Linked DNA regions of Notamacropus eugenii. The protein of the gene in region 2 binds, or shares a complex with, the protein of the main gene of each other region. Links are inferred from orthologs where the notes say so. Each region holds a gene or a part of one and is shown on either strand. Other genes may lie near its edges.

Region 1 (7,890 bases), about 180 Mb from region 2:
CACCCCACTCTCACCTCCTTATGGAAAAGCCTTGGACACTCCCAGATGCACACCTACCATGGGCCCTTCCGTGGTAGCCCCTATTCTTCCATTTTCCTGTGCCTAGGGGCAGCCTTGGAACACAAACACGAACACAAACACACACACACATGTAATTGGGGTAGGCCTGGATTCCCCACATACACTTCTCTTTGGCTAGCACTGGTGCTGTCTCCCTCACCATTTTATATCTCTATTTGGGGCAGCCCTTGTAGCCCTCACCCCATTTTCATTTCCCTAGGGTATAGCCTTCTTATTCCCCCACCTACATCTTTTATGGACTGCCCCTTATATTGCCCAGGTCCACCTCCCTATGAGATGGTCATCACAGTGCCATAACCTCACCTCCCTTCCCCTATGGGTAATCTCTGGTATATTCTACCAGTCCCATTCTCACCTGTGGGCAGGCCTTGGTACTGTCCCCATCCACCTGACTATGGGACAGGCCTAGTTCCGCCCTCCCCCATGTCTCTGCATGATCCCTGTGGCTTCCTCACTTCCCTATGGGTGGCTAGAGCATTCCCACACCCACATGTCTAGGGACTGGCTCAGGTAGTCTGGGGGGCAGCCCTGATAAGGCCTCGTTTCCCAATGGGGTGGCCTTAGGAACTCCTGCCTCTTTATGGGACAGACCCAGTCTAGATCAGTCTTTGAGGCAGCCATGATAGGAACTCTTCCTTTACCCTTTCCTATGTAACAGCCTTAGTACATTCCTTCTCATTCCCTATGGGATGGCCCTGACATCCAGCCCCACATAGCTATGGGTCAGGCCTTTGTCTGACTGTGGAGAAGACCTAGTACCTTCTAAAACCCACGTCTGTCTTTGGGGCAGCCTGGGCACTCCATTTACATTTAAGGAGGTCCAGGTGTATGTCGGGGGGGGGGCACCTCTTTAATTCCCTAAGGGACAGATCTGGTACCCACCTGTACCTTTCCATAGGGAAGATCTGTTCTACCCTGCTCACTCTCCTACGGGGCAGCCCTGGTACCCACCAGCACAACTCCAAAAGGAGGCTAACTCCACCATGGGGCAAGCAGGGACTCCTTGTTCACTTCCCCATTTGGGGTGGGGAGGCCATGAATCCCTTGCTCATTTCTTCATGGCTCTCATGGAGCAGCCCTGGGACCCCTGCTTACTTCCTCATCCTGCTCTTTCCCTTATGGGACAGCCCTGGGACCCCTGCTCACTCCCTTACAGGACAGCCTGGGACACCTGCTCACTCCCTTATGGACAGCCTGGGACCTCTGCTCATTCCCTTACAGGACAGCCTGGGACCCCTGCTTACTCCCCTACGGGACAGCCTGGGACTCCTGCTTACTCCCTTACGGGACAGCCTGGGACTCCTGCTCACTCCCTTATGGACAACCTGGGATCCCTGCTTACTCCCCTTCGGGACAGCCTGGGACTCCTGCTCACTCCCTTATGGACAGCCTGGGACCTCTGCTCATTCCCTTACAGGACAGCCTGGGACCCCTGCTTACTCCCCTACGGGACAGCCTGGGACACCTGCTCACTCCCTTATGGACAGCCTGGGACCTCTGCTCATTCCCTTACAGGACAGCCTGGGACCCCTGCTTACTCCCCTATGGGACAGCCTGGGACACCTGCTCACTCCCTTATGGACAGCCTGGGACCTCTGCTCATTCCCTTACAGGACAGCCTGGGACCCCTGCTTACTCCCCTACGGGACAGCCTGGGACTCCTGCTTACTCCCCTACGGGACAGCCTGGGACACCTGCTCACTCCCTTACAGGACAGCCTGGGACCCCTGCTCACTCCCCTCCGGGACAGCCTGGGACCCCTGCTCACTCTCCTACGGGACAGCCTGGGACCCCTGCTCACTCCCTTACAGAACAGCCTGGGACCCCCGCTCACTCCCCTACGGGACAGCCTGGGACCCCCCGCTCACTCCCTTACAGGACAGCCTGGGACCCCTGCTCACTCCCTTATGGACAGCCTGGGACCTCTGCTCATTCCCTTACAGGACAGCCTGGGACCCCTGCTTACTCCCCTACGGGACAGCCTGGGACTCCTGCTCACTCCCTTATGGACAACCTGGGATCCCTGCTTACTCCCCTTCGGGACAGCCTGGGACTCCTGCTCACTCCCTTATGGACAGCCTGGGACCTCTGCTCATTCCCTTACAGGACAGCCTGGGACCCCTGCTTACTCCCCTACGGGACAGCCTGGGACTCCTGCTTACTCCCTTACGGGACAGCCTGGGACTCCTGCTCACTCCCTTATGGACAACCTGGGATCCCTGCTTACTCCCCTTCGGGACAGCCTGGGACTCCTGCTCACTCCCTTACAGGACAGCCTGGGACCCCTGCTCACTTCCCTCCGGGACAGCCTGGGACCCCTGCTCACTCTCCTATGGGACAGCCTGGGACCCCTGCTCACTCCCTTACAGAACAGCCTGGGACCCCCGCTCACTCCCCTACGGGACAGCCTGGGACCCCCGCTCACTCCCTTACAGGACAGCCTGGGACCCCTGCTTACTCCCTTATGGACAGCCTGGGACCTCTGCTCATTCCCTTACAGGACAGCCTGGGACCCCCGCTCACTCCCCTACGGGACAGCCTGGGACCCCTGCTCACTCCCTTATGGACAACCTGGGATCCCTGCTCACTCCCCTACGGGACAGCCTGGGACTCCTGCTCACTCCCTTACGGGACAGCCTGGGACCCCCGCTCACTCCCCTACGGGACAGCCTGGGACCCCCGCTCACTCCCCTACGGGACAGCCTGGGACCCCCGCTCACTCCCTTACAGGACAGCCCGGGACTCCTGCTGGCTCCCCGTGGAGCTGGCCCTGCTCTTGCCCCCCACCCCTGCCCAGTGCATGCCCGCTCAGACCCGTCGGACCCTCGGACGCCGGCCCCGGCCCGGCCAGGCCCGGTCCCGCCAGAAGCCGCCCTCTCCCGGGCCAGGAGAACTTGCTGCTCACCTGGCCTCCGAAAGAGCCAACCGCGGCAGGCCCTGACGCCCCCTCTGCCCGCAGCCGCGGTCCGCAGGGTGGTCTAGCCCCCCGGCGGCTGCAGCCACTCTGGCCTGCGGTCCCTCCCTCAGCTCGCTACGCCCCCGGCCGCACTCGCCAGATCGGCGTCCGCCATTACGCGCTCCCCTCCCGGAGACATAGCCCCACCCCGGCACCAGATCTGATTGGTTTACAGCCCCGCCCGCTCGGAGCTTCCAGCTCTTTCATTGGTCTTCACGGAGCGCCTGTCAAACTGATACGCAAACGACGTACTCCGCAGGCACTGCCCCGGGAGCTCCACCCGAAAGACTTCCGCAAATGGAGTAAACAGGACGGAGGAGACCAAGTGAAGTTCAAGGCGGGGTACGAGCAAGTCAACTTCCTAAATGAAAGTACGGAAACGCTGCTTCTGAAGGGCAGATGCTCTTTGAAAACATTTTAGGCGGTGGTTTATTGGCAACGGTTCTAGGAAAACGTGCGCAGGAAGCGAAGGAATGAGCTGGGCCCCCGAACTTCCTTCTGTGTACCCTCCAGGTTTCAGTTGGTTTTGCCCAGTCCCTCCTCCCGGCTTCTGACTCGGGCTAGGTGGGAACTGGAAAGTTGAGTCACGGCCTCGTCCCGGGGTCTGGCTCGAGCACACCCAGGGCGGGGACGGGCTCTGCGGAGGAGGGGTCCCCACGTGGCGGAGAAGTGAGCTGTCTAAGGCACGCCCCTGGGCCCCCGCGCTTTTCAGAATTCCTTCCTCGGAGAACTTGTGACCCAGGTGGACCCCCTGCCCTTCGCCACCACGGCTGGGGACCCCCCGTGTCCGCTCCGCTCGATCCGATGAACTTGTGCTAAGCTTTCTCTTGTTCTGGGCTGGGGGGTGGAAAGGGCTCGTAGACAAAACTACCCGCCCTTCAAGACTTTAAAATCTAATAGATGGTGCTGTACCGGTGCTCGGGAAACTTCAGTGGTCAGGGAGTCTGCAAGCATGTATTAGACGCTGTCAGTGTGCGGGGCATGATGGTATAAACCCTGGAGACGCAAAGACAGACGGAAAGAAAGGAGAACACGCACACACTCGCGGGAAGGAATGGGGTGGGGAGGGAAGGGAGAAGAAGTTGAGATGGAGAAGTTCAGAGTAGCGCACCCCTGGTGAGAAATGAGGATCCCCCTCCCCCCGCAGTCAGCCTGGGCACCCTCCTTCAGTGGAGGTTCAGCGAGGTGCTTTTCACCCTCCAGAGTCCAGTCAGAGAAAGGGGTCCCCAAGGCTGAAGGCAAGCTCCAGGGCTGAAGGGATCTTCTGGAGCATCGTGGAGAAATCCAGGATATGATTCAAACTGCTTTGGCATTTAAAGCCCTTCATCCAAGCTGATTAATCATTACTTCACCCTCGCTAAGGCTACGTTACCTCCTTCTGAGATTACCTCCAATTTATCCTGTTTATATTTTATTTGCATGAAGTCAAAGCATTTATTAAGCACCTACTGTGTGCGGAGCTGGGGACACACAGAAAGGCATCAGATGGTGAACTTCTTGAGGTCAGGGGCAGTTTTCCCCATTTCTTTGTATCACCAGGGCTCAGCACAGTGTCTGGCACATGGTGGGTTTATAAATTCCTGTTGACAGGATTTGAAACTGACCGACTTAATTCCAGGTGTAAGACATTCCACTTCATATCTCCGTAATGTCTGTCTCTTCAGGCTACACTCCTGACTCTCTGGACTTTTCATTTCTTTATTCCCCTTTTACCTACTCCATCACTGTCTTTCCTTCTAGTGATAATAATAACAACTAATATATAGCCCTTAGGATGTGCCAGGCACTGTGCTAAAGCATTTTATTTGATCCTCATAACAACCCTGGGAGGTAGGTGTTGTGATTGTCCCCATTTTACAGATGGGGAAACTGAGGCAAACAGTTTGACTGACTTGCCAAGGGTCCTACAGCTAGCAGGTATCTGAGGCCAGATTTGAACTTAGGTCTTCCTGACTCCAAACTACTTCTGTTGGTATTTCTATTTCTAGCACTGTAGTATATGGTAAGCATTTAATAAATGCGAGACTTGATTTAACTGGTGCCTCAGCCCACTGAGAATGCCTACCAACCACTGCCCCTTTGAGGCTCAGCCCAAATACCGCTTCCTATAAGAAAACTTTCCTGATTTCTCTCCTCAGTAAGGAAGAACACTAATCTCCTTGAGGGAAAGGACTGCTCTATTTTTGACTTTGTATTCCCATCAGTTAGTACAGCGTCTCGCACATAATCGGTTTGTTGCCATTGTCTTGTCGTTTCAGTCAGGTACAACTCTTTGTGACATATCAAGGTGTTCCTTGGCCAAGATACTGGAGCGGTTTGCCATTCTTTCTCCAGCTCATTTTACATATGAACAAACTGAGGCAAACAGGGCTCAGTGACTTTCCGTAGTCAAGTGTCTAAGGCTACACTGGAACTCAGGAAGATGACTTTTCCTGATTCCAAGCCCAGTGCTCTATCCATGGTACCACTTAGCTGCCCTAACATTTGATGTAGGAGGTGTTCAGGGAGATCTAGCACATCCAATGTAAAGGCTGTGGAGCTCTTTTCAGGGTTGTTCATCCACCTTTGGTGTCCATCTTCACCCAACTCTTACCTCTGGATACAAGAAGCCATAGCATGCACAGTGACCACATCTCAGCAAATCATCTCAGCTGACCATCTAAAACCAGGTTGAGGTTAACTGATGGCCTCAAGCCAGTAGTTGGTAAATTAAGGGGATATCTACCCCAGGCCTTTGAAGATTTCACCCAGTAGTATGGGAAGATGAAAACAATTTGTTCCATTGGGCCACTAAGGTAGCTGAAGCAGGTGCTACGGAGCGGAGCGCTTACATCTCAATTGAAGAAACGATTTAATCCACTGCATCCTGGGTCATCATCCATTGTTCTGACTTTTGTCTTGCCACTGGACTTTGATGATCCTGGAAAAGAGTGAGGCTGAGGACTGTGCAACTCTGCCTCACTTAAATCCAATTCAGGTGAAAATCAAGACATCACCCTGTGATGTCACTAGAAAATGAAGGAGGAATGACAAGGGAGAACACTAAACACCCTTTAGTGCTCTGGCCCAGCAAATTGCTTTGTATACATTTATCTGTGCACATGATAGGATGTGTTCTCTCTGTAGAATGGAATCTCCTTGAAGGCAGGGACTTGTTTTTTTGTCATTAGAGCCTCAGAGCCTGAAACTTTTTTTTTTAATCTGACAATCAATTTCATCAGTTTGGGGAGTTCCTAGGGAAAGACTCCCCCTGTCCATGCAAATCAGCAGCTGCTGTGCCACCTGAGGCATCGAGTGACTTCCCCAAGGTGACAGTCACAGTTTCAGTCAATAAAGATTTAGGAAGCACCTACTATGTGCCAGCTACTTTGCACCAGGAATACAGAAAGAGGCAAAAGATAGTCACTCCCCTCAAGGAGCTCATAATCTGACTGGGGTGTCAACATGCAAACAAATACAAACAAAGCTACATACAGGATAAAGAGGAAGCAATTCAGAAAAAAAGAGGCACTAGAATTAAGAGGGCTTGGAGAAGGCTTCCTGTAGTACAGTAGTGTCAAACTCAAATAGAAACTTAGGGACCACTGAACCATAGATCAGATTCCTAGGCTGACTTAGAAAACCACATATTAACATTATCTATGTTCTATTGTATTTTTGGTTACTTTGTTAAATATTTCCCAATTCTATTTTCAGTTCTATTTTTCCCCAGTTACATGATAAAACAATTTTAAACTTTTTTTAAGTTCCAAATTCTCTCCCTTTCTCCTTCTCTCCTTCCCCTTTACCCCCATTACATTTTAATCGGGTTCTCAAGAGCTTCATGGGTCCACTGACCTCTCTGTTAACACCTCTGCGTAGATTTTAGTTGAGACTTAAAGGAAGCCAGGGAACCCAGTAGTCAGAGATGAGGAAGGGGAGAGCATTCCAGAGACAACCAGAGAAATGCCCAGAGCTGAGAGACATGTCTTGGTTAAGGCATAACAAGGGGACCAGTGTCACTGGCCCGAAGAGTATGTGGCTGGGGGAGTAAAGTGTAAGAAGACTGGGAAGGGAGGAGGGGGTTAGGTTAGGAAGGGTTTGGAATGCCAAACAGAGGGTTTCATATTTGATATTTAAGTCAACAATTGAAGTCAAAATTGAAGTTTATTGAGTAGGAGAGTGACATGAGTCAACCTGAGTTTTAGGAAAAATCACTTTAGGGTCTGAGTGGAGGATGGATTGGAAAAGAGAGACTTGAGACAGGCTGACCCACCCATCTGTTCCAACCATCCAGGAATGAGGTGACAACAACCTATCCTAGAGGGGTAGTATCAGAGGAGAGAAGGGAGCAAAGAAGAAATTGATCTGTTTGTCAGAGGAAAGACCTGAACCCAGGTCTTCCTGACTCCCAGGCAAATCTCTATCAACTATACCACCGCTAATAAATATTTGTTGAATTGAATTGAAGACAAGGGTAAGTTTAAAGCAAAGCATTCTGGGAAATTGGGGGTGGGAGGGAAGAGTCCACCCAAGTTGGGTCTTCATAGAAGACAGGGTTTGGACAGATGGAGATTTGGGGAGAGGCGGGTCCATTCTAGGCAAGTAGGAGAGTGTGCAGAGACCCATGATAGTAAGGTGAAAACAGAGACATAGAATGCTCTAGTCAGGCTAGAACTCAGTATATATGAAGGGGCAACAATCTGAGAAAAGGTTAGAACAGGAGTCAGATTGTGTAAGGCCTTGAATGCCAAGGTCAGAAGTTGATACTTTTCTGTCAACAGTGGAAATTTCTAAAAGAGTAGATAAGTGACGTGATTGATTTTTATAGATTGTGATGTATGCCTTTACCCCAGCCTTTCAGAGGACCAGTG
Region 2 (7,497 bases):
GGCATAGAATTATAAACAACTGTATGGACTAAACGACTAAAATTCCACATATGCTAGCATCTATTACATAACAATATTAATAACAGCAAACTAAAATGCAATCACTGCACAATCCAAAGCAACAATTTTGTACAGAAAACAATAAAATAAAAACAAAAATAAAACTGTAACTATTTCCTAATGTAATAAATCAAAATACATAGATCTTATATATTCTGAATTTTATCATTTCAAGGATAATTATTCAACAGTAAATATAATAGTACTTCTTAGCTAAGTGATGAGTTATAAAACCTGCAATGTAATATAGGCACTTAAAACATCATAATTTAGTTTACTAACACTTAGTTTGTCAAAGAAAACATTACAAAGTCTGAGTTTATAATGTAGAAATGTTTATAGAACACCAAGAAATTCTATTAGTCAAATCACTTTTAATGCTACTCTTACTTCCTCTTTTAGAAACCATCAAGACCATTTCCTTTAACCACAATACCACATGTCTAGTACCTTCTAGTAATGTTTGACTTGCTATTTCTTCTGACTTCTAAAACTAATACCCAAATTTCTTATGAACACCTGTAAGATTTCACAGAAAATTCAATTCAAGAGAGTGAATACCATGGACATTAACATTACATCATCCCTAACCTACATAAATTTACTTCTAAGAAGGCATTTTTAATTCAAGTTCTATTTTGTTAAGGAAATGCTTATGAGAAATGTTAACAAAAGTCATGAAGAAAGATTTTATTGCTGGTTACTCATATTCACAGGAGTTAAACTTTTTTTGTAACATGCATCTTTTTAGCTATGTGTAGAGAAGTCTGTGGCCCTCTTCCAAGAATGTTTTAAGACAAGATTATAAGGTAAACTAATTCAACAGAAAGATGTAATTTTTTTCTCAAATTCACACACCTCCTGAAATCTACTGATGCACCTATAACTCTAACCCTAGTTAAGAACCTTTGACCCATCAAATTTTACAAGGCAACCAACTCTTATACACATGTTGAAGAATACTTGTGGATGTTCCAAAATAAGCAATTCTCACTAAAACACTGTTTTAAACAACCCCATTATGGAACGAATTGTAGAAAAACATCTTTTTAAATTAAAATTTAAACAGGTTAAAATGTTCATCTTAACGTTACTAATTCTTGAAAAAATGAACCTTACTTAGTATTTAAAATTAACAAATAATCTCGAGGCAAACTAATAAAAGTCTGGAAAACTACTATACATATAATTAAAATATTAGAAACTGAAATAGCTGATCCCTACACAGATTAATCTTCAAGCAATCTAAACTGGCAAACTTGACTTAAGTTTCCAAAAAGATGGAATTATTTTGGTTTGTTTCCCCTGGAATGTATAAGCATAATATTGTGGATTAAAACAAAAAGCTACCTGAAGCTTTAAAACTGTTTTTAATAAACTACAGGCCAATTTGCCATTCAAGGACTTTCTGAAGACATCAAAGCAATGGGTAGCAAACAGCTATTCAAAACATCAAAAAATATTTAGTAGTAATAATGGGTAATATAGTTGCAGACTTAGTTTCAGAGACACAGTGAACTTTTAACAGTGGCCTTTAAAACACGTACACATAAACCTAGGGTTCTCCAAATGTAAGTTGGAGGGGAAGGAAGGTGGCAGGAAAAGCAAGGTTAAGGCTGTTATTCCTGTTCTAGTGAGTCACAACTCCTAAGTATTAGGAGAAAATTAGTTCCACCCTCACTTCTCCCTCCTCCCTACCTTTAAAAAAATGCAATCTCTGTAAGATGTTAACACCCTCTCAAAAGGCTATTTCTTAGGAGAAACTGGCAGAGCGAGGATGGGTGAGGGTCATCCGGTGAGCCATTTCCTTTTCCATCCTTCTTCACTCCCACCCCCTCCTCAAATGCCAGGAACGACTGAACACTGGAGAGTCTTAGTGGGCTCCCCATGGGTCTTTCTGTCCCCCACCCCTTCCATTGCTCAGGTTGCCGCCGCAGTTCCAGGACAAGCAAGTTTCCCTATCTTCCCCAGCATCCCCACCCTCCAGCCCTTTCCTGTCGAGCTCATTCCCCAGTCCCGGTCACCCCGCCCCCACCGCTGCGCTGGGAAAGAGTAGCAGCTTGGGGGGGGGGAGGGGACGCCCCTTCCCGCAGCCCGATCCCGGCTCCCCAGGGCGAGCGGGGAAATGGCTTCTGGTGGCTTCCTCGGCCAGGCTTCAAGGGCCGGGGCCGGGAACGCGGCGGAGGTGAGCGTCCCGGACTCCGCAGTTAGGCCGCGCCGGGGCCCAACCCCGACTCCAGGCTGGGGCGGGGGGAGCGGAATGGGTTTTCTCCCCTTAGAAGCGTCCTTCAGGCCTCCCTCCCTCGTACCGCCCCCACCCTCCACCTCCCAGTCTTCCTGGGCCTCAGCCCGGCCCGGCCCGGCCCAGCCCTCCCCGAGCAGAGGCGGCGGCCGTGGCTGCCCCCGACGCTCTGAGCCGGCCTCCGCCGCCGCCGCCCGCAGCAGCCCCGGGGCCTCGGCGGTCCGTACCTTCTTGATGTTGTAGAGGCGGGTGAGCATGCCGATGCCGCGGTCGTTGAGGATGGTGAGCTTCTCCGCCAGCTTCTGCTGACTGGGCTGCAGCACCGAGCGCGACATGGTGGTGCCGCCGCCGACCCCGCTCCCCAGACAGCGGCCCGCGGCCTCCGCGCTCCCTCCCTCGCTCCGTGTCCTCCCGTTCGCTCGCTCTCGGCTTCCTCCCTTCCCCGCCCGCCCTCGGCCTCCGCCTCAGCAGAGCGCTCCCATGGCCCGCCCGCCCCAGCCCCGCCGGCCGGTGAGCTCGGGAGCCGCCGCCGCCGCGGCCGCTACTGCTGCTGTGGGAGCTGCTGCTGCTCTCGCCGCTGCTCCCACCGCCTCAGGGTCCCTTGCCCCGGCTGCTGTTCACCGGCTCCCGCTGCCTGCCCGCCTACCTTCCTGTCCGCCCGTCCTTCCGTCCCCACCCCCGGCTCTCCTTTCACCCCACCCCCCCAGCTCCAAGCCGTCTTCCCCGGCTCCTCCACTAGGTGTGGCGGCGGCAGTGGCAGCGGCAGCAGCGGCGGCCCCGCGTCTCCCGGCCGGCCCAAAACGAGGCAGCTTCTCGCCACCCCCCCACCCCCAGGCGCGCACGGGTCACCTGATCCATCTCCCCAGCGCCCCTCGGCGGCTGGAGGAAGAACTGCAAGAGCAGCAACACGGCTCCCACCCTCCTCAATTCTATAGGGGCGGAGGGCGGGAGAGTCTCGAGCCCTCCCTTGGAGGCTTGGCCCCATTCCTGCCCAGTATTGCCTAGCAGGGCGACTCCAGGACCCTTGGAGAAGAGCGGGACTCCAGGGGGTTATGGCAGTGCTAGGGTCAAATTCATTTCTCGTTCCCTCGTCTCCCGCCCCCTTTCGCGCTCCCCCAGAGTGGCAGAGAAAACTCGGCTCCCCGTGCCACCCGCTGTGAATCACCCGGGGCAGAAGCTCGGAGGCGGGGCGTTGTCCTCCAGTGTCTCTTCCCAGGGAGTGGGTTGGTCGTTCCCGGCACCTTCCCTCCACCCCTCTCACGCCCCCACCTTCACTCCCACTCCTCTAACTGCAGCTCGCGGCAGATGGTGTCCCTCCTCTAGAGGCTGGCATCTTCTTCTCACTGAACTCTTTCCCACCCCCCCGCCTCCCCAGTCTAAAGAGCGCCTGCCCCCACCGCCCCCCGCGCCAACCCCCAGATCTGCTTGAGAGATGGGGTCGAGACCTTGAATCTAGAACCCAAGCAGGAGAGAGTGAGGATGCTGACGTTCCCTTGGTCCCCTGATCCCATCCCCATCTCGAGCCCCCTTTTTTAGCAGCGAGCTGGGTTGGGGGTGTCTGAGAAGGCTCGCTAATTTCCCCGCTAGGTCAGTTTCAGCTCAGCTCTTCTGCTCGTTGCTCCCCCAGGTCAAGAAACTTAAACTCCTGCTCCAAGACTGGGCAGTGAGCAGAGAAAGGAGGGAGGGGCTGGCAGTCCAGCCTCCCGGAGCCCTGCTTACTGCCTTAATATTTCTGGACTTGTAGTCCTTCTGCTGTTTTAGTTCTAGTTAAGTTTGTCTTCCTGACAATATCCTGTCCAGGCCTTTTGCACTTAACAAATACAGTAAAGATCTTTAAAAAGATTTCTAGATTGATCGGAATTCCTGGGAAGACAGATCCTTCATTCCTTCAACAGTCATGATTTTTTAGAAAGAATTGCCGTGGCTAGAAAATGTTATCACCTGGTACCCAGATCTTACTGAGGGATGAGTTAATCCACACAGCTGACCTTCAGATAGCAAACATGCCCTTAAAGTTTGGTAGGCGCTTGGGCTTTACGGGAATGGCCTGAAATCCAAAGAAAACTCCAAGCCAAGAAGAATATGTATAGGGTTTTATTGGATGTGGAAGAAAAAGAATTCTATTGAAGTAGTTTTTCTTTCTTTTCTTTCCTAAGGCAAGCATATCCACCTGTTCCCCTTTTGAATCACCATTTGACTTTTCCACATTATATTGTTTTCTAAATTTTCCCAAAACAGTTCACTCTGGATGCAATGTGGAGAGAAAAATAAGACATCAGTATTTCAAACTCAATGTGAATAAAACAACGCATCTTTGTCCTCAATAGCATCCCTTCTTCAAATTTTCCTGTTTCTTTTGAGAGCAAAGACAGCTTTCCTGTGAGGCACATTTACAGTCTGAGTCTTCCTGGACTCCTCTCTCTCACCTTGAATATTTACTTGGTCGCCAAGTCTTCTTGATTTTACCTCTATAGATCTCAGATCCATTCCTTCTGTCACCTCTCTTCGTTCACACAGGCCACCATTCTAGGTAAGGCTCTTATAAAAATCCTCTTCCATTTCCCCACTATTGCAGTTGCCTTCTAATTGGTCTCCCTGTTTGTAGTCACTCCCTTCTCCCATTCATCTTCCACACAGCTGCCAACTTAATACAGTTACATGTATTATTACGTATTATATATTAACATTACACATTATTATATTATATATATTATATGTAATACATTAATTCCACATAGAAGGGGTTAGGGGCACAGTGGTGCCCCCAAGATCTGGAAAATCTGTGTAAAATTTTTTGACCCTCCCTTCATACCAGAGAAGAAGGCTGAAATAGTATAGTATTAAAAGATAAAATATGAGTTTTCATCTGGTGTTGTTTTTAAGTTTTTAGGGTAAGAAAAGTTGGTAAGAAAAAGTGGTATATTTATACGTTTTTGTACAAAATAAATGAATGCCAGTAGATTTTTAAAAATCTTATTATGTACTGCTGTGTGAAAGTCTGTATATTTCCCTTAAATATGCATTATTTTACTTGTGAGTTTTTTACTGAATTAATCTGAAATGTATGAGCCCCAGATTTGCTACGGAGTGAAGAAGTTATTTTTTTTATTTCTAATTTTGGAGATCATGCAGAAATCAGAACTCTTAGGATGGTTTGAGCTGAGGGGCGAGGAGTGGGGAAAGGATCGTCCCACATGCATGTATGTCTATTTGAGAAGCTTTTTTAAATGTAAAAGCTGTGCATTTCTGGGAATTTTTGTCCTTTTTTTCCCTTCAGTGAGCTTCTTTTATATATAGCAGACAATTTGAAAAAATACAAAAATGTTAAGTTCATTTTAAAAAAAACTACAGTATATCACTGGTACAATACACTAGAAAGACTTTGATAAAAAGGAACAATAATGAAAGGCCTCCATTTTAAATGTCATTTATATATGTACCTTGTAGATGAGAGCTATATACTTTTATATACTTTTTTAGATTAATAAATTATTGAACTACTAAAAAAAGTAAAATAGGTTGATATTATATAATACTATATATATACTTTATGCATTTCTGAGTTCCTAAACTTTTTCTGTGCTGTCTGCTGGCCTTCAGGTGATTTCTGCAGTTTCTGCAAAACTCTCAAAAAATTCCCATTTAATTTCTTTTATCAACCCTCAATATATCGAAACCTTGATGGAGAAAGTCAAAATGTGGAAAGGATAGCTGCATACCTAAAACAGTTTTGACTATCACAGTTCTAACTCACCTACTTCAGCTTTTCCCTGTTGTATCATGTCTTTAGAACTGGAAGAAACCTAGAGGTTATGTAATCATGTAATTAATTGTAAAGATGAAGAAATCGAGGCCTGGAGAGGTTAAGTGATTTGCCCACCATAATAGAATAGAATAGAATATAGTATAATATGATATAACATAACATAATATAATATAACATAGGTAATCGACAAAGCCAGGGTTGAAGCCCAGAGCCTACGTCCAAATCCTATATGCTTTCTATTGCCTTCTGCTACCTTTCTTTCCCTCTAGGACAACGGACAAACTTCTCAGCTTGCTATCTTAGCTTCTGTTTTTATTGCCCCAGTAAACTTAAAGCTCCTTAAGGACAAAAATTGTTTTTAGTTTTTTATCTTTGTATCTCCAGTGCTTTGCACATGGTAGGTGTTGAATAAATGTTTACTGAATTGAATTGAGGAGAAAGTTCACTTTTCTGCCCATTCCTTGACAGGAATGATTTTACCCATAGGAAGAGAATGTAAGAGATGACCTGTCTGGTATTATTTGAAAAGCATGGGAGAGATTGCCCTGTCCCCAAATGTAACCCCAATCTTTCTGTCACTACCCCTACAACTCTGTCATTACAGACATTCTTTTTGGTTAAGGCATTGCATCTCCAGGGTTGTGTTTGTTCTTCGCTGCAGAAGAAGACTGTGCTATCAGAGAAATGATGACATGACTTGCACTTGACTTTGTTTTGAGGGAGGGCTATGCAAGGTCATCAGCCTCACTTCTCCAAGTCTTATTAAAATGTGTCAGCTGAACCAAACTGGTTTCTGGTTAGAACCAAACAGAGCAGGTTAGAGACAGGAGAGTTGGGAATCAAAAAGAAGTTCAATTTCAAAGTGAGGGAAACAGCTTGCAAGCAGGAAGGCAGATTAGACACCTGTGCCAGGGCCCTGCCCCTAATGGAGAGGCCTGCTTCAGTGTGGTTAAATCTAGATTTATATACTTGTGGCTAGATAAAGAGTCAAACAGTATAATGTAGAAACAGTAGTGAGGCATACCAGCAACAGTAAGGCAAGGTTGTGTAGTGACAAAAAGTCAGTTCATATCTGGGCTCGTTGGTGCTTGCCACAGCTCAGGGACCATCAGTTCCAGAAGGTGAGCACAAAGGATTGTTGTTATGCCAAGCTCAGGACACAGCTTAGCTCTGGAAAACTATTAGAGTGTCTCCTAATAGTATCTTGACAAATGGATACACTCCTGATGAGGTAACATATTGAACAGTTATCAATCATAATATAATAATCATAATATCAGTAATCAACACATTGGGGGGATTAGTTTATAATATTGTTTTCTAACCTGACAGCCAAAAGGGAATGGAACAAAATACAATTTTGATAAGAAGGAGTAAAGAGGGAAAGGTTTGGAGTGTAGGCTACCTCCCAGAGATGGTGGAGATGATA

Evidence for each region. The genes of interacting proteins can lie anywhere in the genome.
Region 1: NCKAP1 (region 2) and WASF2 share a complex: the UniProt entries of both Homo sapiens proteins name them as parts of the WAVE2 complex. The link is inferred for Notamacropus eugenii from reciprocal best matches to the Homo sapiens genes NCKAP1 and WASF2.

Annotation. Positions count from the first base shown.
Region 1 is NC_092876.1:68,626,450-68,634,339, forward strand, and holds the start of WASF2 (actin-binding protein WASF2), read right to left. Parts: upstream 3,074-7,890; 5' UTR 2,987-3,073; intron 1-2,986. UniProt on the Homo sapiens protein: Downstream effector molecule involved in the transmission of signals from tyrosine kinase receptors and small GTPases to the actin cytoskeleton. Promotes formation of actin filaments. Part of the WAVE complex that regulates lamellipodia formation.
Region 2 is NC_092876.1:247,615,579-247,623,075, forward strand, and holds the start of NCKAP1 (nck-associated protein 1), read right to left. Parts: upstream 3,091-7,497; 5' UTR 2,638-3,090; coding exon 2,530-2,637; intron 1-2,529. UniProt on the Homo sapiens protein: Part of the WAVE complex that regulates lamellipodia formation. The WAVE complex regulates actin filament reorganization via its interaction with the Arp2/3 complex. Actin remodeling activity is regulated by RAC1.